Canis lupus familiaris: one gene and its partners. The protein of the gene in region 4 interacts with the protein of the main gene of each other region in a pairwise test. Links are inferred from orthologs where the notes say so. Each region holds a gene or a part of one and is shown on either strand. Other genes may lie near its edges.

Region 1 (4,098 bases), on a different chromosome or scaffold from region 4:
GTGTTAAAAAGGGGAGGAGGAGCTGATTCCTGCACAGCAGAAGCTCCAGTCAAGGTTCCAGAGACATATTTCTAGTTCCTATAGCACCATTTTGGGCAAAGACTATCATTTCCTTTTTTTTTTTTTTTAAGATTTATTTATTTATTTATGAGAGAGAGAGAGAGGCAGAGACACAGGCAGAGGGAGAAGCAGGCTCCATGCAGGGAGCCCAATGTGGGACTTGATCTCGGGTCTTCAGGATCACACCCTGGGCGGAAGCCGGTGCTAAATCGCTGAGCCACCCGGGCTGCCCAAGACTATCATTTCCTTATTGAAAAGCATTGAGCGCTATATGTAGGTGCGAAGTTTCCTGGATGGGAGTGAAGGATGCAAGTGCAATGAGATCAACTATGCTTCATTTAAAGGAAAGAAGGAGGGAAAGAGGAAGGAAGGAAGGAAGGAAGGAAGGAAGGGAGGGAGGGAGGGATTAGAACTGAATCAGAGAGATCCCTGTTTTCTTCTGACTCGCAGAGATGTCACAGGAGGGAGACAGGGGGGATGTGGTCAGATGAAAACCCCCTCACCCTCACCCCCCCACCCCCCGCAAACATTTAATGCTCCGCTGTGCCCTGTGAGCTGCCCTTCAAGGGTGTCGGGTGGGGTATTCCTCACCCGCTGCCACGGCGGCCTCTGCTGACCAAACGCATTCGCCCTCTTGCTGGCCCCGGGAGAAACCCTCCTCCGGGAACAGGGCTCTTCCTCTCTGGGGACCGTGACCCTGGGGGTCCGGGCCTCCCGGCCTTGGAAAAGGCCCCCACCTAGGGGGGAGGGAGAGGGCAGGCCACCCACGCCGGGCAGCCTCACCCATCAGGCCTCGGCGAGTCCCCAGGGGCCGCGAACGAGGCGCTCGCAGCCGGGGCCTGGGGCAGCAGCAGCACCTTCACCTGCGAACCCGTTAGAAATGCGAAGCTCCCTGGGCGGCCCCAGCCCGCCGTGCCGAGCCCCGCGCAGGTGGGAGGGGCGGAGCTTCAGCGGCCGCAGGTGCGCGGGGCAGCCGGCGGGAAGGGCTGGGGAGCAGACTGCGGCAGGAGGGCCCCTCCTTTAAGGCTGGGGAGGCGCCCCTGCCGCGCCCCGCGGGCCTCCTGACAGCCGACCCGACGCGGCCCCTTTCCAGCCCCGGCGACCTCGGCGCCCAGCGCCCCGCCTCCCGCAGGCCGGGGGCTCGGGATCGGGGGGGAGGGATGCGGGGCGAGCGGGGCTGGGGGCCCGGCTCTGCTCACCGCGGACGCCCCTCCCGCACAGCCGCCGCGCCCCCCGCGCCCCGCGCGCCCCCCGCGCCCCCCGCGCCCCGCGCCATGAACCTCAGCAGCAGCAGCAGCGCTGCCGAGAAGGCGCCCGCAGCCGTGCTCTGGGGTGAGCGAGGGCCCGGCTGCTCCCGAGCCGGGTGGGGGAGCGGGGCGGGGAGCCGGGGAGCCCCCTCCCCCTGAGCCGGCCCCCTCGCTCCTCTCCCTTCTCAGGCTGTGAGCTCAACCAGGAGAAGCGGACCTGGACGGTCAAACCCCAGAAGGAGGGCAAGCAGGACTCGAAGCTGTTGCTCTGTACGGTGGGTGCCGCGCACCCCCCCCCCCCGCCCCCGGGAAGGGCGGCCGCCTGCAGCCCGAGGGGCCTGCACAGCTGCGGGGGGCGGGGGCAGGCGGACTCTCGGGGACCAGACCGCTCCGGTGGTGAGGGGGCCTGTCTTCAACCGCCCTCAGATTTGCTTGGGGGAGAAAGCCAAAGAAGAGATGAACCTGGTGGAAATCCTGCCCCCGGCCAGCCCGGACGACAAACAGGCCAAGCCCATCACCATCGCCTCGCTGCAGGCCTCCGTGCTACCCATGGTGAGCCTCTCCCCGCCGGCTTCGGGAGACTGCCCGCCCTGGGCACCTGCTCAGGCCTCACCCCCGGGGAGCGGATGGGCAGGCCCAGAGAGGGGGTGCAGGCCTCCTGCAGGGGGGCAGCGCTGCCAGAGAGGCCCTGTAGCCCATGACCGAGAGCCCTGGGTTTGGAGGCAGAGAGCCCCACTTCCATCCCAGCCCACCCTTTCCTAGCTGCGTGACCTTGGGCAGGTCCACCGCTCTTCAGAATCACCTTTTTTTTTTTAAAGTTTTTGATGCTGCTGAGAGGACACTGTTGATGACTTCCATACTGATTGTCCATCCAGAAACTCTCTTATTTCTAATAATTTATCATGAGTTCTCTTTGCAAATCATCATTGTTAATGGCATTTTTGTGTGTCTTTTTTAATCTGACTATGCTGCCTAGGGTCTCCAGTATAATATCGGGTAAGATTATAACGGTAAATGTCCTTGTTTCATTCTTGGTGTGTGTATGTGTGTGTGTGTGTGTGTGTGTATACACACATATATATCGTGTGTATATATATATCTTGATATATATATCATGTATATTTTTATAGCTTATTTATTTGAGAGTGTGTGTGAGCATGGTGGGGAGGGGCAGAGGGAGAGGAAGAAAAAATCTTAAGCAGACTTGGAGCTGGTGCAGGGCTGACCCTGAGATCATGACCTGAGCTGAAACCAAAAGTCTGCTGCCTAACTGAGCCACGCAGGTGCCACTCTATGTATATTTTGAAAGGAATGCTTCTAATGTTTCTCCACCATGTTTCTCCACATGTTTGGTAAGCCTAGTCCTGCTCTGCCTTTTAAAACTGGGATTTCTTCATTTTAATCGTAAATGGTTATCAAATGCTTTTCTATTCAGGTCACCATAAGCTCTTTTTTCTTTAACCTGTTAATGTGGTAAGTTATATTAATAGAATACTATTCAACCAACTTTGCATTCCTGACAAACACTACTTGATCATACTATAAATTTCTACATTTGCTTTGCTAATATATTAAAACTTATATTTAAAAAAAAACCTTATATACTCAGGAGTTTATAGGCCAACCACACTTATCTTATTTGAGTGTCAAGCGATACTAGCCTCTCGAACTAGGGGATGTAGTGTTCTCTCCTTCTATGTGGTGGAACAGTGAATGTGAGACCAATGTCCTCTGTCCCTAATCCGGGAGGTTTATCTGTAAAACTGCCCTCAAACCCTTTTTTCCCTTCTATCTATGAGATTTCCCTAGACCATTCCTTGCCAGGGTTTTAAAGACCATTTATGCAAATGAACACTCTGGTATTTATTTCTGCCACTCTCTTTCATGCTCCAAATCCTCTGTCCAACTCAATATATTTAATAGCTATCTAGGAGAGAACCCATACTTAACAAATCTAAATCCAAACTCTTGATTGTTATCTATAATCTCTTCCCCCACCCCCAAACCTGATCCTCTCCCAGGATATAATTGCTCTTCCAGTTAATCAGGACAAAAACTTCCTTCTCAAACACTGCATATCACCAGCAAATCCTGTTGGCTCTACCTTGAGAGTATACACCAGTCTGACCACCTCTCACCACCTCCCTTCTATACCCTGGTCTGGATGACCATTACCTCTTGCTCAATTTTATTGCAGGGCCTCCTATCTGGTCTACCTACCTCAACCCTTGGTTCCTTATAGTCTGTCTATTCCAGGGTTCGACAAACTGCAGGATTAAACCCAGCCCAATGCCTATTTTTGTAAATAAAGTATTATTGAAACACAGCCACACTCTTATGCCTGCTATTTTCCCTTGGTAACAGCAGAACTGAGTCATCTCCACAGAGACCGTATGGTTCATAAGCCTTAAATATGTATCAAATACAGAAAAAATTTCCCCAACCCCTGGTCTATTCTATGCACAGCTGCCAGAAGGATCCCTGTATTGTTTATTGTTTTGTTTTGTTTTTTAGCATTTAAGTGATCTCTACACCCAATGTGGGGCTCAAACTAAGACCTCAAGATCAAGAGTTATATATTCTTCGGACTGAACCGGCCAGGTACCCCTAGAAGGATCCTTTTAAAAGTCAGACCATGTTGCTTCTCTGCTAGAACAGTTAGGTCAGTGGTTTCCCATTTCACTTAGGATGAAATCCAAGATCATTTATGTTCTAGCCCGCAAAAACCTCTCTCAATTCCAACCTCTGCTACTCTCTGCTCCCTAACCCTATTCAAACCACGCTGGCTTCC
Region 2 (3,938 bases), on a different chromosome or scaffold from region 4:
CTTCTGAAAATTCAGTCCCTCTAAGGGAAGAGGGCAAGCACTGCCTTAAAAATTTAAACTTCCACAAATCTCACAAAACTAAGTAAATGTGAAAGAACCTTAAACTTTCAAATGGATGTTTTTGGTAAATGTGTAACATTTATACTTTTGGCAATTTGGAAAGCTGAAAGCCAGTTGCATTAAGACGTTATGATACCCTATCCACAGGGCTCAGATATTACATATTTCAACTTTTAGCCCACCGTGTAAAGACATGATGGCATGCTTCATTGGGCTAAATAAAGATCCCCTTTTCCTTTCCTGGCTCAGGATAGCCACAGAGATTTTTTTAAAGATTTTATTTATTCATGAGAGATGGAGAGAGAGAGAGAGAGAGAGGCAGAGACACAGGCTGAGGGAGAAGCAGGCTCCCATGCAGGGAGCCCGACACGGGACTCATCCCAGAACTCCAGGATCACACCCTGGGCTGAAGGTGGCGCTAAACCGCTGAGCCACGGGGGTTGCCCAGCCACAGAGATTCTGTGTGCTCTTCCATCTAGAGATGGGGACCCATGAAAAGAGAAAGCAGTGTTCGTGGACTAGTCAAAAGCATACTCAAGTTTTCACTCCAGTTAAGTCACTGTGATTCATTTCGGCAGACCTCTGGTCAATGCCGAGTGTGCACTGGGATCCACATGCACCCGGGTGCCTTCCCCAAAGGAGGCCAGTCCCTGTGTGAGCTTCTGACTGTCCGTTCACCTTATGATCTTCTCAGCACATGCTACAAGCCAAGAAAAAGATGATGAGTTACAGAACACGATCGCTAGCTCTCCATAAAGCCACTTCATACTAATAGTCAGAATTGCACCCAACACCTCTACAACAGGTATGATCACATTACCACCCCAGCATCTGTAAGAAATAGTGGAGGCTCAGAGAGGTTAAGTGATTAGGCTGGAGACATAGGGAGTGGCAGAGGTAGCCTGAGACAAGCTCCTGCCCTGCTCCTCTCTCTTGACTTGTCATGTTTTTCGCCGTTTGCTTGGCCACTACTCAGTGAGCAGAAGCCGGAGGCCCTCATCCCAAAAGAAAAACTAAAAAAAAAAAAAAAGAGCAAAAACAGCAAAGGCTCTACAGTGACCTTCCATTTTACACCGAGCAGAGATACCATCCTTGTCACAACTGAGGTCAGGTGTCAGAAAATGAGTCTGAGTTGAGGGGAGCAGGCAGCAATAACAAGGGGCTGGGAACTTATGAGGGACTTGGGACACCTCAGGGGTCCTCTTACCAGGATGGTGGCCCTGTTTGGTTGAATGTTGTTGACTCAGGGCCAGAGATCTGAGCTGGAGCCAGCATCTACCAATGAAAAATGACCTCAAGCTATCCTAACTTCCCAGATTCTGTTCATCTATAAAATGGGTCCAAAATCTATCTTAAGAGCTTTGTGTGGAAGATAAGAAATAGGAAAGATTCATCCTTACCCAACAGTAGAAAGTATTTCCTATGACCTATTAATTTGCCCACTCCACCACCCTGTTACCTGATACAAGGGCCTCATATTTAGTTCTAGAATTGGGTTCTAGAGTTCTTTTTAAACCTTCCTGCCTTTACATTTTTATATTGTTTATTTCTGCAAACACTACACTCCCTATTCTTTAAACATTCTCGCACAGGCATGTAGGCGCAGACCTAAACCTCAAACAGCCCACCTGTGAGGTGGGGGGGGGGGGGGGGGGGCAGGCTGGCAACCACAGCGCAATTCCCAGTGAGCCCCACGACCTCCAACAAGTCACTGTCCCCTCTTAGCTTCGGGTCCTCCCATCTGTGAAGCGAGGTGCCAGGAGCCCCTTCCAGGGGTGGAATTCCAAGACACGAAGGGTATGGCGCAAGGGAAGGACAGAGGAGTACACACTGCCTCCCATGTGGCCTCAGCCTGCGGGGTGACGAGGCTCCCCATGTGCACTCACCCTGTGAGGCAGGTACATCTATGTCCACCCAACAGATGGGCGCACCGAGGCGGGGCCAGTGGAGCCATGTCCCCCCGCCTCCCCAGAACTACATCACCAGCATCCCTTGGGTGTATCGGTATCCGTGCAAGTCTAGCGCGGGTCAGACGCGCTGTGCTAGGCTCTGGGCCTGGGGGTGCTGGGTGAGTCCCAAGGAGCCCTCCGCAGGGAGGTCAGCCGTGCAAGTACCCCCCACGCCGTTCCCCAGTCTCCCCGGAAGCAGGTGCTGCAGGCAGCCCCGTCCTGGGTGGCCAACAGGTCTGCGCGCGTGCAATCCTCGCAGCAGATCTCGGGTTCTGTGTTCGCCCCTTCGTAGACCGACAAACGGCGGCACAGGAGGAGTAACTCGCAGGTCACCCGCGGAGCTAGGGGCAGACCTGAGTCGCGGGCGGCGGCCGGGGCGCCCTCCGTCGGTCCAGGCCGCCCCGGAGGGACGCAGCCCCCCAGGCCTCGGGGAGCGCGAGCTGGCCCGCCTCGCAGCCGGCCGCAGCCCAGCCCCGCGGGGACCCTGCGCGAGGACCGTCCCGCCTCCGACCAGGCTCTTCGCCGCCCGCGGGACGAAGGCCACGGGACGGCCCGCCTCGTCCTTCCGCGGGGAAAGCCCCAGGAGGGGTCCAGCGGTGGAAACGCCGGCGCCAGCCCACCGCCCGCCCAGCCCCAGCCTCCCGCGGCGCCGCCCCTCACCTCTCCGCCGGCGCCCGCCAACGGTTTCAACCCGCCGCGAGGAGCACGTGGAGACGCAGCCGCCCGTCCCGCGCCGCAGCCGCCTCCCTCCGGGCGCCCCCCCGCGCCTGCGCCGTCCCGGCGGAAGTGACGTCCCCGGAAGCCGGAGGCGGATCCGGCCGGCCGAGGGGGCGTTGTCGGGATGGTTCCGCGGCCGGCGGCGCCCGGCGAGCGGCGCTGAGGGCGGCTGGCGGAGAGGCGGCGGCTGGCGGAGAGGCGGCGGCGGCGGCGGCGGCGGGGCGGGGAGCGGCCTCTCCGGTAGGTGCCGTCTGGCGGGAAGGCCGGCCTCGCGAGGGCGCGGCGCAGGGAGCCGGCCTAGGCCGGGGCCGCCGCCGCCGCCACTCCCGCCCCGGGCAGCCTGAGGGTCGCGCGGCGGCCGGCTGCGGTCCCGGGCTCCCCCCGCCCCGCCCCGCCCCGGGCGGGCCCTCGGCCTCCGGGGGCGGCGGCCTCGGTCGGGGGCAGCGCCCGGGCCCGCGGCGGCCCAGGTCCCGTGGAGCCGAGCGCGCGTGCCGCGGCCGCAGGGACGCCGCGCGGTCGGGGTCGGGGTCGGCGCCGGGAGGAGGGTGATCCCGGGGCGGGGGCGGCGGCGGGGGTGGGGGGGGGGGGCTGCGCCTGAAGGGCCCTGCGTGGGTCTGCCCGGCCCGCCGACGGCGGTTTTCCGGCGGCTGCGGAGGCGGGGGCCCGGCGGCGGCCTCCGGCGGGGTTTGCACTGGGGCATCCCCCGCGCCGCGCCGGGCCCGCACCCGCCCTTCTCGCCGGGACGTCCGCAGGGCCCTGGGGGGGGGAGGCGGGGGGCAGGATTCAGGCCATCACAGAAGGGATTCACCGGAACGGGCCGGGAAGAAAACGTTGTTCCAACAGAAGTGACTGACAGCGTGGCCTGGAGGTTTCAAGAGCAGGATGCTTGAGGCGCTTGGGCCCTGCGCGTCTGTTTCCATGTGCTCCCCCAGGAAATCCCCAGGAGGGGGCCTCTCTCGAGCCTGTCTCTGTAGCTCAAGCTTTCAGCCTTCACTCGGCTCACATGTCTCTTCCTCAAGAAGTCTTCCCTGACCTTCCTCCTCCAAGTTAATTTGGATTTCCCTCACTTGGTATCTCCAGGACAGCGGCGTTCTCGTCTCCCCGGAGTCCGGGGCACGAGGGTGCCAGAGCACGTGGCCCTGGGGCCCGAGACAGAGGCTGACAAAACTCAAAGGCCGAGAGACGGGTGGTGATGAAGCAAGAAAGGGACTC
Region 3 (3,954 bases), on a different chromosome or scaffold from region 4:
TGAGCCAGACAAATTTAATTTGGAGGTATATTATTCCAAGTATCTCTCTAAGAGGGAGTAGGGCAAGGCTTTATGCAGTTTGGGGGTTTGCTGAGTGATTCCAAGGATGGACTAGGAGAAGCAGGTGCAGTTTAGTAATTGGGTAGCTCAGTGATTTTGAGTTGGAGGAGAAAGGAACAAAGCTAGGCCAGGGAAGTTATCCAATCTTCCTCAAAATATGGAGGTTGTTAATCATTCTGTAGCTACAGCATGTCCTCAAGAGAAGCATTCTTTTTTCTTGTTCTTGTCTTTGCCCTTGTATATGTACATCACAGTCTGATTATTGACAGGGCTGATTTTACTTTCTCAATCCTATTTTCACTGTCCCAGTTTAATGTCTCATCTAGATTGTGATATTGCAGCTTTATATTGCAAACCAGAGTAATTTACCTAAGACATGAATGGGACAACAAACCTCAACTTAAAAGCTTTTAGATGGTTTCCTGTTGCTTACAGAACGTAATTAACGCTTCTTAGCATAATTTGCTAGGCCGTTCTACATAACCCAGGCCTAAGCCACCTCAACCGCTGTTGCTTTTTTAAAATATTTTATTTATTTATGAGAGAGAGAGAGAGGCAGAGACACGGGCAGAGGGAGAAGCAGGCTCCATGCAGGGAGCCCAACGTGGGACTCGATCCCAGGACCCCAGGATCACGCCCTGGGCCGAAGGCGGCGCTAAACCGCTGAGCCACCAGGGATCCGAACTCGCTGTGTTCCCTGATACTCTGGAACTTCCCTTTAAATTCGATGGTCAAAAATTTTTGCGGTTGCGACCAATTCCACATTGCTCCACTTCTCAGTGCCTTTGCTTATGCGCATTTGCCATTCCCACCCGGGAATCTCGCCGTTACCTTCCTGAAAACTCAGGCATCAGAAAGTTCTCCCTGAATCCCCGGTGGCCTGTTAAGTAAACTACGTTCCCTCTACCATATTTATCAATGTGTCGGTTCTTTTGTGCCTCTAGACAGCACATTCCTTGGGAGCAGAAGTCAGGCGTTTACAGCCCAGGTGTTGGGTTTCCCTTCTGAGGTAGCAGGTACGACGAGAACGGGGCGGAGTCTGGAGTTCGTCTGAGGGGCTGATAGGTGGGCCCGCGGAAGGCGAGTGACGTAGTGGGACGAGGTTTCGTGAGTGGATGGGAACGAGAAAGAAATGGGACTTTAACTTCCTGGCCACAAGACAGACTGCTATGGTGTGGGGGCAGGCAGTGATAAGGCAGTGGGGGAGCGCTAGGAGGGAAGAATTACTTTCAGGGACACGAAAGAATTTTCGGGAAGAAGACATTTGTTGGTGGGCGTTCTGGAAGACTACCCGCCCCCCGGAACCTGGCGTCTTCCGTACTTGGTCCTCCCCGGCGGAGGCACGCTCCCCCCCCCGACCCCCCCTTGCGCCTGCGCGCGGCCGCGCCCTTGCTCTTAATCCCGCCTCTTCCGGCCACCTCTACGGGTGGGGTGCTGGGGGTGTGGTGGCCCTGGCAAGATGGCGGCTCCCGAGAAGATGATGTTTCCGGAGAAACCAAGGTAAGCTGGGTTGGGGGGGTAATGAGCCGCTGAGAAGACGGGACGGGGCCAGCCGAGCCTGGTGATGAAGGATGTGCAAGCCGGAAGGAAAGGGGAGCTGGGCCAAGCAGGCGAGGCACTGCTGCCGCTCGAGCCCTCCCCTTGATGCACCCCGGACTGTCAGGGGCGCCTGTGGGCTGAGGTAATGCGAGGAGGTGAACAGGTGGCGGAATGGAAAAGACCTGCCGGCTGGTCATGGAATGGCGAGGCGATAGTGAATACGTGTTCCGTAATTAAAGCACGGGAAATAAGAATTCACTCCCGGGCACCGGAGCGATTTCCTGTCACTCAGAGCGGCTAGGGGGCGGGAGGCGACGGGGGGGCGACGGGGGGCGCGTGAGCACGCTCTGGCAGCGGCGCAGGTGCGGTCAATTGACGCTAGTGTGTGCCTGTTTCAATTTTCCAGCCACAAAAAGTACAGGGCTGCCCTGAAAAAGGCGAAACGAAAGAAACGACGGCAGGAACTGGCTCGATTGAGAGACTCAGGTAACCGGCTCCTTAGCCCGTTTTCTGTGTATGAAATTGCTCTCTCCGCTCCCGTCCTAACTTGAAGCCCCAGTGCCAGAGGAAGCCAAGTACTGACCTGCTGAAAATCGCTGCGCCTATTGCCTTCCAAATAAAGTGATCTTAGACCCATTTCACAAACGATATTAAAGTACTAAAGGGGGAAAGACGTCATGCTAAATCAATCCCTGATTGTGTGTATTTATGAAGTATCTGGTATTACCGGTGCAGACATCATGAATTACAGCAGCTAGCACAGCCCTTGCACATAGTAAGTATTCAGCGAATATCTTCATCTAAAACCAGCAGGACTTGAGGGGTTTACACATTTTGCAAATTTTTCTCAAACTTCAGTAACATGGGAGACCCTTTGACTCAAATTATTATTGTCATTTAAATATACACAAGCATAAAACCAGATATGAAACTCTTATTAGACTATAAAACAATACATGTACAGGTTATAAAGCCAAGTGAAATTACACATCCAGTAAAATTCAAATTTAGATTAATGTAACATTAGGAATGAGGTAAAACAAGCTTACAGCATGAATATGGTACTGAGTGGAGTTGGGAGTGCCACTACTGTTGCCCTCTGGTTATTTGCCAGTTGTTTTTCCTATTAAAGTGCTTGTGGCACCTTCATCTGTACTGGCTATGGTATCATTTATCCTTCACGTGTCAGAATCTAACAAATATATATTAAACCTGCCTGTTTAATACAGCAAAATTAGTACTAATTTACAAAATTATATATTAGTTATAAATGTGGATGGAAGCACTGAAATCGCACAGCAGTACTGTGTTATGTTTGCATCTAGACTATCCAGGCAATCCTCAGACCTTTTTATTTATTTTGACATATAACTGATTACTTTGTAATGATTTGGTACTTGTGTACATTGCAATAATGTATCTAGACAATTCTTACAGTCCACAGGCAAGGGCCTCAAGTAACCAGTATTCAGTATTCACTAGCCATGTGAAACATAGTTGTAGACATGTAAATTACTTTTTGATTATTTTTAGAAGCGATACTTGGAATATTTAGAATGGGAGGAGCAGGGTGTTTACCTGTGACCTGTTACCATCTCTCTTTTATTCAAAACTGGACCACTAAAGGCAGGACAAAGCATCAGGGATAAAAAACAAAAGGAAAAAAGAGTAGGTTGGAGTTATTGATGCCCTTGGTGTCTGTGCCCCCCCTTCCCCTCAATAATCTTAGCTACCTTTTTTAACTTAGCCTGTGTTTTTCCAATATAACTTCTTTTTTAACTTCTTAATCATTTTCTCCCCTGTTCTAAATCCTAGAACTATTGTTTGTATTGTGTTGAATTTTTTTTCCCCTTTTGACTTCACAGAGTGCTTTCAGAGTGAGCCTTTGTGGAGAGGTGTGGGTGGGATCATGTCCTTTGGCAGTCTAGTCAGTTGAAGAATGCAGTGACTGCATCAGGCTTATACAGCTAATGGCAGATCTAAGTCTAAGTACTTGTCTCTGGACTACTGCTCCTACTTTGGCCCACTCCAACTCCTAATTATTTACTCAGTGGTGCTTCGTGAATAGTGTGGCCTACCAAACATTGCTGTTCATTGTAGCACACATTGGATGGGCAACCAATACCCAGAAGGCTAGAATAGGGACATAGTCTATAAGAATTGCTGTAAGACCAAGTTGGAAAATGAGTGGTAGGAGTTTCTGGAATTTTGACCTCATTTGCAGATAGCCTCTTTAGCATCCAGTTCTACTTGAAATAGCTTGTGATGAGCTGCCTTGTCAGAAATTAAGGTGACATTAAGAATAAAAATCAAGTTGCATGATTCTAATACATATGATTGTATGTATGATACAAT
Region 4 (3,500 bases):
AAGTCAATAGGCCCTTCTGCATGAGCCTGGGATGTCTTAGCCCTGCTTAAAGCCCCCCCGGTGGCTCACCACTACTCTCAGTATCTAGCCCATATTCTCTAAAGTGGTCCCCACAGACTTCTGTTTCCTCCAGAGATTGGAACTGGTGGCTCACAGGCCATATGCAAACAGATTTTATTTGACCTTGCAGAGTACTTCATACATTCAAATTAGTTGTCTAAATGCAAAACTCAAGACACTGCCTTTAAGAAGCTTGGAGCTTTACAAGGAGAGAAGTGGAAGCCTAGGCTAAGATCAAGGCTGGAAATGGGTGGTATACAGTAGGTGCTCAAATACTCAGAGGGGAACAGGGATGTGGCTGTGAGGGAGGGATTCAAAATGCCCTGCTGCCTTTCTATTGTAATTAAGACCCCTGGAATTCTGTGCAGTTGTGGGATGATGCTGTACGCAGCAGATGCTCACTATGAACTTGCTGGAATGAATTTGGGTCTTGAGTGACCAGACCCCCTCAGCCCACCTGACCTTTGAAACTCCTGCTCTTCCTGGCCAGCGTGTCCTGGGTGGTCCCCTAGGTCTGGGGTCTGAAGCCCAGAGTCAGTTGAACAGGTGGGATGGAATTTTGCAAGGGTGGAGATATGGGCTTGGGAACAAAACAGATTTGGGTTCAGACTCAGCTCCCCCATCTCCAAAATGGGCATGATACCTTCCTGATATCTCTCTTGTCCTGAGAGTCCTGAGTGGCACCCATGGGCGCGAGGCAGACATCCATGCTTCCTCTCACCCCTCACCCCTCCTCACTCTCTGTGCCCTGAAGGGTGTTCTGAGGAACAGCCATGTCTACCCTGTACCCGTCTCTGGAGGACCTGAAGATGGACCAAGCCATTCAGGTAAGCCACTGGGCATGTGTTAGTCTAGGCCCTCGTGGGCCCTTTGTGATTGTCCCAGGGTGAGTAAGGGAGGCTTGTCTTGAAAGGTGCTGGGTGTTGCAGGTCACCACTGCAGGGCCTGCTGGTGGACAGGAGGCTAAGGCAGTGGAGTTACAGCAGGAGTGGAGAAGGCCAAGCAGCTGCAGATAGGCCTGTGCGTCCCAGCACTTCCTCCATCCCCGTTCAGGTAGACGCCACACTGTAGACAGGCTTCCAGAGTAGACCCCTTGGGCATGGCATGTGGCCTGCTCATCCCCAGAAGCTTCTTCCTTCCATCCACCTTCCATCCACCTGCAGTTCCAGTGGGTTTTGAGAATTTGGGACTTGTCGACTGAGAATTTCGTTGGGAGGTGGGTCTTGATGTTCTGGATGCCTCACGTAGCAAGCGGGTCATGACATTTGGTGGGTTGGGCGCTACAGGGAGAACCTTCCCCAGAAACATGGACATCTGCAGAGACCACATTTACACATCTCCGAGTTCCGTTGGATGCGCCACCCTACCCTAGGCCTGCCAGCATAATTAAGGCCCTGACCCTCAGCCCCAGGGAGCCCCAAGCTCCAAGGTCTGCGGGTCCTGGCCACAGCTGATCAGTGCATCTCACCTCTCCCCAGGCCCAGGCCAGAGCTGCAGCCAGGATGCCCGCCCTGCCAGTCTCCCAACCTTCAGGTGAGCGAGCCGGGGTGGGGTGCTCCTGACTGACAGTGACCTCTTGTGGCCACTTCCAAGCACTGCCTCTTGCCTGCCGCCCTGCTGTGGGCTTCCTGCACATTTTACCCCCGCCAGAACCCTCTGAGGGGACCCTGAGAATTCTGTGGCTTAGTGAGAAGACCAAATCCTCTGATGTGGGACTAACTTCTATGGCCAAGTGAGGAGACCGGGATGTTTGTGGTGGCCCCCAGAGATGATGGCAGTCCTGATTCAGGTCCTGTGGCAGCTACCTTGACCACAGGCCCACTCTTTCCCTCCTCACTGTGCATTTTCCTGGGAGCTGCCCTGGGGTCAGATGCCTGCCTCCCACAGCCCGCCTCTCCCCATCCCGTGGATTTCCTAGGAGCCGGGGCCTCACGTCCCCAGCACCAGCCCTGTGCTTGGTGTCGCATGTCTGGCTGGTGCCAAATAAAGTCTGTTGCGTTGAACAGCCAAGTGGTTCGTACATGAGGGATTCTGTGTCCCAGGCTGCTCCTGGCGAGATCACTGCCCCTCAGCCCTCCTGAGGGGAGAACCCACATCACCAGCGAGTGTTCCCTTGCCCTCTCAGGAGTAAACAGTGTCCCTGGGCCCTGTTTATTAATACAGCTGAGTGACACGGGGGAGCCAGGCAGGCGTGGCCAAGCACGCACCCCTGAGTAACACCTCTCCTCTTCCTTCCCTTCCCTTCCCTTCCCTTCCCATCAGTTTTGTACCCGAGCCTGGCGGACTTGGAAAATTATATGGGTCTTTCCCTCTCCAGCCAAGAAGTCCAGCAGAACCTGCTTCAGCTTCCAGAAGGTGCTGGTGTAGGTATTCTTCTCTTGCCTGATGTGGGCACAGAAATGTTCCAACTTGCCCTCCTTGGTTTCGCCGTTTGCACAGACTGGAAGCTCCTGCTCCCTGGCGTGCCTGCGGCTCTGTTTCTTGATGGCACTTCTCATTTTGACCCGTCATTAAAAGTGCTGTGGGGTTTCCTGCAGTCTTGGGCAGAGCTGGAGGACCACTGCCTGCCCCTTGACCTCTGGCTTCGGGCTGCTGGATGAGAAGGGAGGCGTTAAACCCAGCCTGAGCCTGGAGGCATCTAATGTAGGAGCGCCTGTGCCTTGAGAGCTGTTGCCTGGATGGCAGAGCCGAGAGGGGGAGCAGCTTGTCACCCAGCTCTGGTCCCCAAATTAAACCACAATGCTTGCTTGATTCCTGCTCTCCATGGTTTTGGGGAGCAAGAGACATCATGACACTGAAATATTCCCTCCTGAAAATACGCTCATTCAGAGACCCAGTGCCCACCCAGACCCCCTCCCAGTGGGCTCCAGCATCCCCACGGGCCGTTGGTCAGCGTGCTTGTCTGCTGTCCTGTCCCCAGGCTGCTGAAAATTGGTGGCAGAGCACAACCCCAAGTCCTGTTGAGGCTGAAGGGTTTCGTGAAGTGAAGGGAGTGAGGATGAAAACTGCCACAGCCACACACACACACACACACACACACACACACACACACAGCCACTGGCAGATGAGGGTCTGACAGGAGAAAGGCCACCAGGAAGGGGACACGTGGGGCCTGGGGTGTTTCCCCACAATAACCCCCCATAGTCATGCTGTGAAATACAAACTTCGAAGCAAAGAAAGTCCCATGGTGTATACTTCCCTTGTCAGCCTTTGACTGAATTTCTCTTCGTTCCAATAATGAGGACGTGAGTGCATTTCACTGAAATGTTGATACAAATATGACAGGTGGATTCATTTTTATAGCTAAAAGTTTTATTTTTAACTTTTTATTTTTCAATAATCATGAACTCCTGGGAAGCCACAAAGACAGTATAGAGAAGGGCACAGAAAGCTGTACCCTCCAGCGAGTGTTCCTAATGGTTATGCAGGAAGTGGCTGCA
Region 5 (4,264 bases), on a different chromosome or scaffold from region 4:
ACTATTAATACATGCAAGAACTTCAGTGGATCTCAAATGAATTAATTAACCAAGTGAAAGACACTGGACTCAAAAGGTTTATAGATTCTATTCACACAACATTCTAGAAAAGGTAAAATTATAGGGACAGAAAAAAATCAGTGGTTTCCAGAGGCTGAGGGTGGGGTAAAGGGTTTACTTACAAAGGCTCATGAAGAAATTTTTCATGATAAAATTGTTCTATATCTTAATTTTGGTAATGATTATCTGACTATCGGTATCTGTCAGAATTCATAGAACTGTACATTAAAAAGGATAAATTTTGGAGCCCTTGGCTGTTGGTAGAATATGCAACTCTTGATCTTGGGATTATAAATTCAAGCCCCACAATGGGTGGAAAGATTACTTAAAAATAAAAAAATCTAAAAATAAAAATAAAAAGAGAGTGGCTCAGTTGGTTAAGCATTTGTTTCTTGATTTAGCTCAGGTCATGGACTCAGGGTCATGAGACTGAGCCCTACACTGGGTTCTGGCATGGAGCTTGCTTAAGATTCTCTCTCCCTCTGCACCCCCATGCCCCTCCCCTCCCTCACTTGCTCACACATGATCTCTTTCAATAAAAAAATGAATTTTGTTAAATGTAAATTAAACATCAGTAAACTGGATTTAAAAATGTCTATATCAGTTAACCGAGAATAATGGATGTATGCAAAAATTGAGTTGTATATTTATTATAGGAGATACAATGTGGTTTATAAGAGTAAACCTGATGGTAGCTACACTTGCACGGAGCATAGCATAATGTATAAACTTGTGGAATCAGTAGTGTATAACTGTAACATAACATTGTGTGTCAACTATACTCAAGAAAGAAAGAAAAGAAAAAAAGAGTAAACCTAATAATTATGCAAGAGCAAAGGAAATGGCCAAAAGTTATTGTTTATCCATAAAGAACACTATGAGGCCATTTAAAATGTTAAAAATGGGGATGCCTGGGTGGTTTAGCAGTTGAGCGTTTGCCTTCGGCCCAGGGCATGATCCCGGGGTCCCAGGATCGAGTCCCACATTGGGCTCCCTGTATGGAGCCTGCTTCTCTACCTGTGTTTCTGCCTCTCTCTCTGTGTCTCTCATGAATAAATAAATAAAATATTTTTTTAAAAAAAGTTAAAAATGACCTGAAAGGTTATACATTAAAATGTAAAAATGATTATCTTTGAGGTATGATTATAGCATATTTTCTCATTATCTGTATTTTCAACTTTCCTATAATGAACATGGATTGCATGTGAAATCGTAAAACAAATCATAAAAGATATTTTTCAAAGGAACATATAACTAAAGAATACAGTAGAGTGCCAAAGGCCTATAACAGGGCAGCCCTGGGGGCTCAGCGGTTTCGCACCGCCTTCAGCTGAGAGTGTGATCCTGGAGACCTGGGCTCAAGTCCCACGTCAGGCTCCCTGCATGGAGCCTGCTTCTCCCTCTGCCTGTGTCTCTGCCTCTCCCTATCTGTCTCTCATAAATAAATAAATAAATAAATAAATAAATAAATAAATAAATAAAATCTTAAAAAAAAAAACAACAACAAAGGCCTGTAACAGAAACATCTAAACCTAATATAAATAAATGCCTTACCAAAATAAGCTGAAGCTTGAGAAAAATATCAAGAACACAAATTATTTTGTGTTTTAGCTATATTTAAAGCTATTTTTATTTTTTATTTTTTTATTTTTTAAAGATTTTATTTATTTATTCATAGAGACACAGAGAGAGAGGCAGAGACACAGGCAGAGGGAGAAGCAGGCATCATACAGAGAGCCTGATGTGGGACTCGATCCAGGGTCTCCAGGATCACGCCCTGTGCTGCAGGCGGCGCCAAACGCTGCGCCACCGGGGCTGCCCCTAAAGCTATTTTTAAAGAACCAAAAAACGGATAGCTCATTATTCAGGGTGCTAGGTGAACACACCACCAATGTGATGTTGTAGGCTACGAGTAAAAGTAGGATTATTTTAATTTTGCTTCCGTCTTCACTCAAACACAATTATATGCATGATTAGAAGAGTAGAACTGAACCCCAAGATAGTGAGGGGTGGGTAACAGAGCCCTTCTATCCATTCTGAATATGTTTAAGTCACACAGCCCAAGTAACTGCTCCCTAAACATACCAGAGATTTTCCAGGTGAGATGACTGTACTGCTGCTGGTAATCTGAGAGATCCTGGCAAACAGAAGTGAAAGACTGGAAGTAGGCAAATGCAGTTTTGATTTTCAAAGTGGGGAGAAAGGTAGATTCCACAAAGTAGAACACTGAACTTGACATCCATTCCAGGCAAAATTCTGGCTAGATTTATTAAATCCATTCAGAAAGAAAAGCCCTGATCACCAACTATCAAATCATTATACCTAATACCCTTATTGGCTTTTGGGTATTTGAATTTCAATAAGGCATCTTGGAAAGTCTCTTACAACATCCTTGTGAACAAAACAGAATAACTAGGTAGATCAGTTGATCATCATGGACAACAGACTACTGTTTAATAGGTTGAAGTAAATGTATAGAGAGGTATCCAGTGATGGCTTGAGGCCTTGGTCTTCAGTTTGGACTTGTTCAACATTTTAGAAATGACTTGGGAGGGCACAGATGTGCCTATTTATCCAACCTGTAGCCGACACAAAGCTAAGAGAAAGGGCTAATACAAAAGATGACCAAATGAAGATCCAAAAAGGTCTTGAGGGCAGCCTGGGTGGCTCAGCTGGATCAGGTGGATCACTGCCTTCAGCCCAGGGCGTGATCCTGGAGACCCCAGATCAAGTCCCATGTCAGGGTCCCTCCATGGGGCCTTCTTCTCCCTCTGCCTGTGTCTCGGCCTCTCTCGCTCTCTGTGTCTCTCATGAATAAATAAATAAAATCTTAAAAAAAAAAAAAAAAAAAAGGTCTTGACAGAGTAAAACTCAGTGTCAAATCTAACAAGATGAAATTTAACAAGGGTAAAAGTAAGTCTAACACTTAAGTCCTGAAAATCAATACAAGACAGAGGAAGCCTGACTTGATGGCAATTGATCACACCTTGATTAACACTTAGGTTTTTTTTTTTTTTTTAAAGATTTTATTTATTTGAGAGAGAGAGAGAGAGAGAGAGCGCAAGAGAGCGAGCACATAATGTGGAAGAGGGGAAGATGGTGAGGGAGAAGCAGACTCTCCACTGAGCAGGGAGCCGGACATGGGGCTCGATCCCAGGACTCTGCGATTATGACCTGAGCTGAAAGCAGATGCTTACCTGACTGAACCACCCACGCATCCAACACCTAGGGTTTTTAATTAACTGAAACCACAGTTTAGGTCCAAACCTAGGAAATTAGAAAGGAGCGGGGTTTAGCTTCATAAATATTATTTTCCCTTCAGTTCCACATAAACTTTTTGACAGATTTGAAAAAGCTAACGGGCTACTTTAGGAGGTAAGTATGTCCTTCCTGAAGGTCCTCAAGCTAAAGTTAGATAATTCCCCTGGATGATGAAGACAGTACTGGAATCCAGTGGAAGGTTTAGCAGAAGAAATGACCCCAGATAGTGCCAAGATTCTACAATTTACTTACATATAAGCAGATGTAATTACAATTAACAAACTGAAAGTAATTTCATTTCAATTGATTTAAAGTTAACTCCCTGAAAGATCTGCTGAATAAGAAGTTCAAATTTAGGCTGTCTCTCTCTCTCTTTTTTTTTCTCTTTTATTTCCTCCCTCCCCTCTACTAGTCCAGAGTCTTAAAAAAAGAACAACAGTACTTTCTCAACTTCTTATAACCAATTTAAAAAAAAAAAAGTCTAAAACTTGTTATTATGGAATATGTGCTTTTTATAAATAACATTAAAACTTTCTGATGAACACAAAATGATAAGTAATGGTTCCTCTTGTTTCTCCCCCCAAAATATTCCCCAAACTCTACCAGATTCCCCTAAATGCTAAAAGTCTCCTTCTCCAACTCCCTGAGGATTTACTCTGTATACCATGACTACTTTTATTATACACCATTTGTTTTCTTGCCAACAAGACAAGAAGCTCCTAGAGGTAAGATTTGTCTTTTATTTTTCTGTGTAGCTCATGTACAAAATACAGGCATTCCATAGAAAAACAGTATTTGTTCAACTTTCTATTACTTCTGAAATAATAGAAATACTCTTTAGATGCTAAAAGTCTTTCACTTCATATTTAAGTGGACATTGCTTGGTTTTGTCACCCTAGTGGCAAATTATTATCTATTTTAAAATTTAAAATAATTTAAAATT
Region 6 (3,500 bases), on a different chromosome or scaffold from region 4:
TTTTGTCGCTTGATGTCAGTAGATTCCATTCGGTCACTTTTTCTTTTTGATCCTTAAAAATACAATTTAAAGAAAGCATATAAAAGTATTTTAGGCATTCTATTTGTTTCACCAAAGACTGACAGATAATATGTATCAGAGAAAAAAAAAAAGGCTAATTTCTTTAAAATATTTTCTAAAATGTTAATCATTAAAAAAAGCTTGCAAATATAAATATTACACATTTGAAAAACAATAGATCACTTTTATTCATATAGAATTGGGTACCATAGTTTGTTATGATTGTACTTTGGTGTTAACAGATTCAAGGAATAAGAAAAAAAAGTCACTTTCTTAATAAATTAAATCTTTATTTAAACTTATTTTAACAAAATTTAAAAATATTACATACCCTTCTTCTCGTTTTTATCTTGTTCACTCTCTGGATTATAAAGTTCATCATCCTGTTCTGGTACTTCAGTCAAAATATCATCAAGAACATTAAGTTCTCCATCTGAAAGCAAAGAATTAAAAATAGGGAAAAATCATTACCATGAAGCATTTATCTTCTACTACTACTATGTTGGGTCTAAGTAAATATGAAAACATAACCCTCAAAGACCTTTTATTTCAGGACCAAATACAAGACTAATTCTATAAAACCATTCACAGTAAAGAACATGATACAGACCTACAAAGCCAGGAGTAGTATACACCCACCCCATAGGATATGAAAGGATAAACTACGAAAAAAGAAAATGTCAAGAACTTCTGTATCTGTATCTCATCACATAATTTCTCATTTTTCTAACTGCTCTAAAACGTACACAAAATATTAGTACAGAAATACATGCAGGTAACATAAACACACACACTTAAATAAGGATGTGTACTCAAGATACTTATTGATTACCAAGAAAAAATAATTTTAAGTAGAGGAAGATGACAGATTCAAACTTAACCAAGGTGAGTCAAATCAGTATCACAGACCACCTGGCATGATGCACACATCTGTGATATTCAAACTCTGAACCTATATGTGAGAAAATATCAAATAAACCAAAATGAAAGGTCATGCACTACAAGCAGTAAGAAATTACTCCAGATTAAAGGAGGATAAAAAAGACATGATAACTGAATAAAAAACATAACTGGGAAGCTAGTGAAATTATAATAAGGTCTATAAATATCACTGTTTCCTGATTTTGATAATACTATCATTAAGTAAATGTCCTAATTCTTAGGAAATACATACTTAAGTATTCAAGAACAAAAAAGTATTATGCCTGCAACTGACATTTGGTTCAGAAAAAGTGTCTGCATGTATCCACAGAGAAAATTAGGGGCAAATGACCTCAAGAAAAATAATATGGGAAGTCAACATTTGTGGAGTGGTTGAAAGGTAAAAAAAATAAAAATAAAAAATAATAATAATAACAATAATATTGTACTATTCTTATAGCTATTCTGTCCAAATGTCAACACACACACACACACACACACACACACACAGAGTACTTTTGTGCTACACAATCAAAAGCATTTCAGGCTGCTGATACAAACTATAAAACATGTTAACTTATTTAGACAAGAGAACTACTGACTATAACTGACATACTAATGATCATGAAAACCTGTAACTCAGTATTTGCACTGCATCCTTAATTCCTGCCACATCCAACAGAACAAAATAAATCCTAGAAATACATGCAAATATTTACTACTTTAAATTTTTTTTAATAGGGGTGCCTGGGTAGCTCAGCTGGTTAGGCATCTGCCTTCAGTTCAGGTCCTGGGACTGAGCCTCAGGTCCAACTCCCTCCTGCAGGGGCGGGGGGTGTGTCCTGCTTCTCTATCTGCCCCTGCTCATGCTCACTCTCAAATACAAAAAAATCTTTTTAAAAATAAATAAAATTGATTTTTTTTTTAATAATACACTAAAGCTAATGGTAAATGCTTTGAACCTAAGCATTCTGGTGCTTATCTTCCCAAATTTAAAGTGTGGTAAAGGGAAATATAAAGTCATGAACACTGATGAGACAGGACAATTACATTTATGGTTCCAGTCAAAAAGCAAAGCCCATTCAAAATTATAGCAAGGGCTACTGACCTGACTTAAGGTCTATAAACAGGTTAATGAAACTAAAGTATCTCCAAAGGGGGACAGAAATCAGTGACTGAAGAGAACTAAAATATTTAATGTAGGTATATGAAAGAAAACAAGGTTACACAGGGTACAGAAAAAGTAACATCTCAGTATTTGGAGTCAGACACAGTTACTGTTTAAGAGAACATCTTCCTTAGTATTTTGAGTCAACAGTTGCTGCCAAGAACATCAAGGGGGCACCTGGGTGGCTCAGCCGCTGTGCACCCTGTCAAATAAATAAATCTTAAAAAAAAAAAAAAAAAAAGAGTGGACTTTACGATTTTTCTAAAATGAATATACATACTATATGGATTTCCTTACTTTAGCTCTCTAGTCAATAAAAAAGTAAATCCAACAATCTTCACAAAAATTACATTTCTAAACCAAAAAAAAAAAAACCTATCACAATGAAATAGGCAATTAAGTAAGTATAGTGCTACACAAATCTTTCCATGAAATTACTAGCTTTGTATTACAGAATCAACCGGAAAGCCTGAACATTTAAATGAAGTTATATACTTTATATATGCTAAATCTAACACAGAATGAAGGAACTGCTCAGGTTAATTTAAATCAATGCAAATTTCAGGCATATTTAAATCATGGGTTCCCTACAAAAAGGTATTGTTTTAAAAAGTCTTAACTGTATTAAGTCAAATGCAGAGACTGGCTGCTGTTTTTAAGCTACAAATTTTTAGGACAACAAATATTAAGCAATACTTTTTTTTAACATTTGGCACTTTCACACGTATCTTATATACATATACGAAACACCTAAAGTATGGTTTATCATCTATTACTTCACAGATACATAAGTATAGGGTGGCCAAATTCATGTCTAGAGATAGATGGGTACAAGCCTACAGTTCAGGTTTTCTAAATCTAGAGTTAAATTAGATGGGGAGTATTAAAAAAAAAAAAAAAAAAAAAAAAACCTTTAAACAAAGTATAACAAAAATGCAAAATATTATTAAAGAGTCATGTTTAGGGGATCCCTGAGTGGCTCAGCGGTTTGGCGCCTGCCTTTGGCCCAGGGCGCGATCCTGGAGTCCTGGGATCAAGTCCCAAGTCGGGCTCCCAGCATGGAGCCCGCTTCTCCCTCCTCCTGTGTCTCTGCCTCTCTCTCAATCTCTGTGTCTATCATGAATAAATAAATAAATCTTTAAAAAAAAAAAAAAACTAATGTACCACAGAGCTCTGTATAATTGACATTATAGCATCTTGAAATTTACTTTAAGATCAAACACTACATCCTCACTTAACGGTCCACTTATTTTTATCCATTTTATATTTCATGATATCAATAATCGAACTGTGGGGGCAGCCCTGGTGGCGCAGCGGTTTAGCGCTGCCTGCAGCCCAGGGTGTAATCCTG

Evidence for each region.
Region 1: the proteins of SDCBP2 (region 4) and NPM2 interact in binary tests that used the Homo sapiens proteins (3 or more experiments, as listed by UniProt). The two-hybrid records come from large-scale screens. The link is inferred for Canis lupus familiaris from reciprocal best matches to the Homo sapiens genes SDCBP2 and NPM2.
Region 2: the proteins of SDCBP2 (region 4) and LYAR interact in binary tests that used the Homo sapiens proteins (3 or more experiments, as listed by UniProt). The two-hybrid records come from large-scale screens. The link is inferred for Canis lupus familiaris from reciprocal best matches to the Homo sapiens genes SDCBP2 and LYAR.
Region 3: the proteins of SDCBP2 (region 4) and ZRSR2 interact in binary tests that used the Homo sapiens proteins (3 or more experiments, as listed by UniProt). The two-hybrid records come from large-scale screens. The link is inferred for Canis lupus familiaris from reciprocal best matches to the Homo sapiens genes SDCBP2 and ZRSR2.
Region 5: the proteins of SDCBP2 (region 4) and ZCCHC10 interact in binary tests that used the Homo sapiens proteins (3 or more experiments, as listed by UniProt). The two-hybrid records come from large-scale screens. The link is inferred for Canis lupus familiaris from reciprocal best matches to the Homo sapiens genes SDCBP2 and ZCCHC10.
Region 6: the proteins of SDCBP2 (region 4) and YTHDC1 interact in binary tests that used the Homo sapiens proteins (3 or more experiments, as listed by UniProt). The two-hybrid records come from large-scale screens. The link is inferred for Canis lupus familiaris from reciprocal best matches to the Homo sapiens genes SDCBP2 and YTHDC1.

What each region holds. Positions count from the first base shown.
Region 1 is NC_049246.1:35,389,673-35,393,770, reverse strand, and holds the start of NPM2 (nucleoplasmin-2), read left to right. Parts: upstream 1-1,298; 5' UTR 1,299-1,334; coding exon 1,335-1,392; intron 1,393-1,496; coding exon 1,497-1,582; intron 1,583-1,733; coding exon 1,734-1,859; intron 1,860-4,098. UniProt on the Homo sapiens protein: Core histones chaperone involved in chromatin reprogramming, specially during fertilization and early embryonic development. Probably involved in sperm DNA decondensation during fertilization.
Region 2 is NC_049224.1:70,304,479-70,308,416, forward strand, and holds the start of LYAR (cell growth-regulating nucleolar protein), read right to left. Parts: upstream 2,801-3,938; 5' UTR 2,670-2,800; intron 1-2,669. Other genes in the region: ZBTB49 (zinc finger and BTB domain-containing protein 49), read left to right, coding at 3,919-3,938. UniProt on the Homo sapiens protein: Plays a role in the maintenance of the appropriate processing of 47S/45S pre-rRNA to 32S/30S pre-rRNAs and their subsequent processing to produce 18S and 28S rRNAs. Also acts at the level of transcription regulation.
Region 3 is NC_049260.1:12,088,425-12,092,378, forward strand, and holds the start of ZRSR2 (U2 small nuclear ribonucleoprotein auxiliary factor 35 kDa subunit-related protein 2), read left to right. Parts: upstream 1-1,154; 5' UTR 1,155-1,519; coding exon 1,520-1,560; intron 1,561-2,005; coding exon 2,006-2,085; intron 2,086-3,954. UniProt on the Homo sapiens protein: Pre-mRNA-binding protein required for splicing of both U2- and U12-type introns. Selectively interacts with the 3'-splice site of U2- and U12-type pre-mRNAs and promotes different steps in U2 and U12 intron splicing.
Region 4 is NC_049245.1:20,190,828-20,194,327, forward strand, and holds part of SDCBP2 (syntenin-2), read left to right. Parts: intron 1-814; 5' UTR 815-833; coding exon 834-887; intron 888-1,538; coding exon 1,539-1,593; intron 1,594-2,322; coding exon 2,323-2,423; exon of another isoform or gene 2,424-2,427; intron 2,428-3,500.
Region 5 is NC_049232.1:21,275,405-21,279,668, forward strand, and holds the start of ZCCHC10 (zinc finger CCHC domain-containing protein 10), read right to left. Parts: upstream 2,801-4,264; 5' UTR 2,340-2,800; coding exon 2,146-2,339; intron 1-2,145.
Region 6 is NC_049234.1:59,679,523-59,683,022, reverse strand, and holds part of YTHDC1 (YTH domain-containing protein 1), read right to left. Parts: intron 494-3,500; coding exon 392-493; intron 53-391; coding exon 1-52. UniProt on the Homo sapiens protein: Regulator of alternative splicing that specifically recognizes and binds N6-methyladenosine (m6A)-containing RNAs.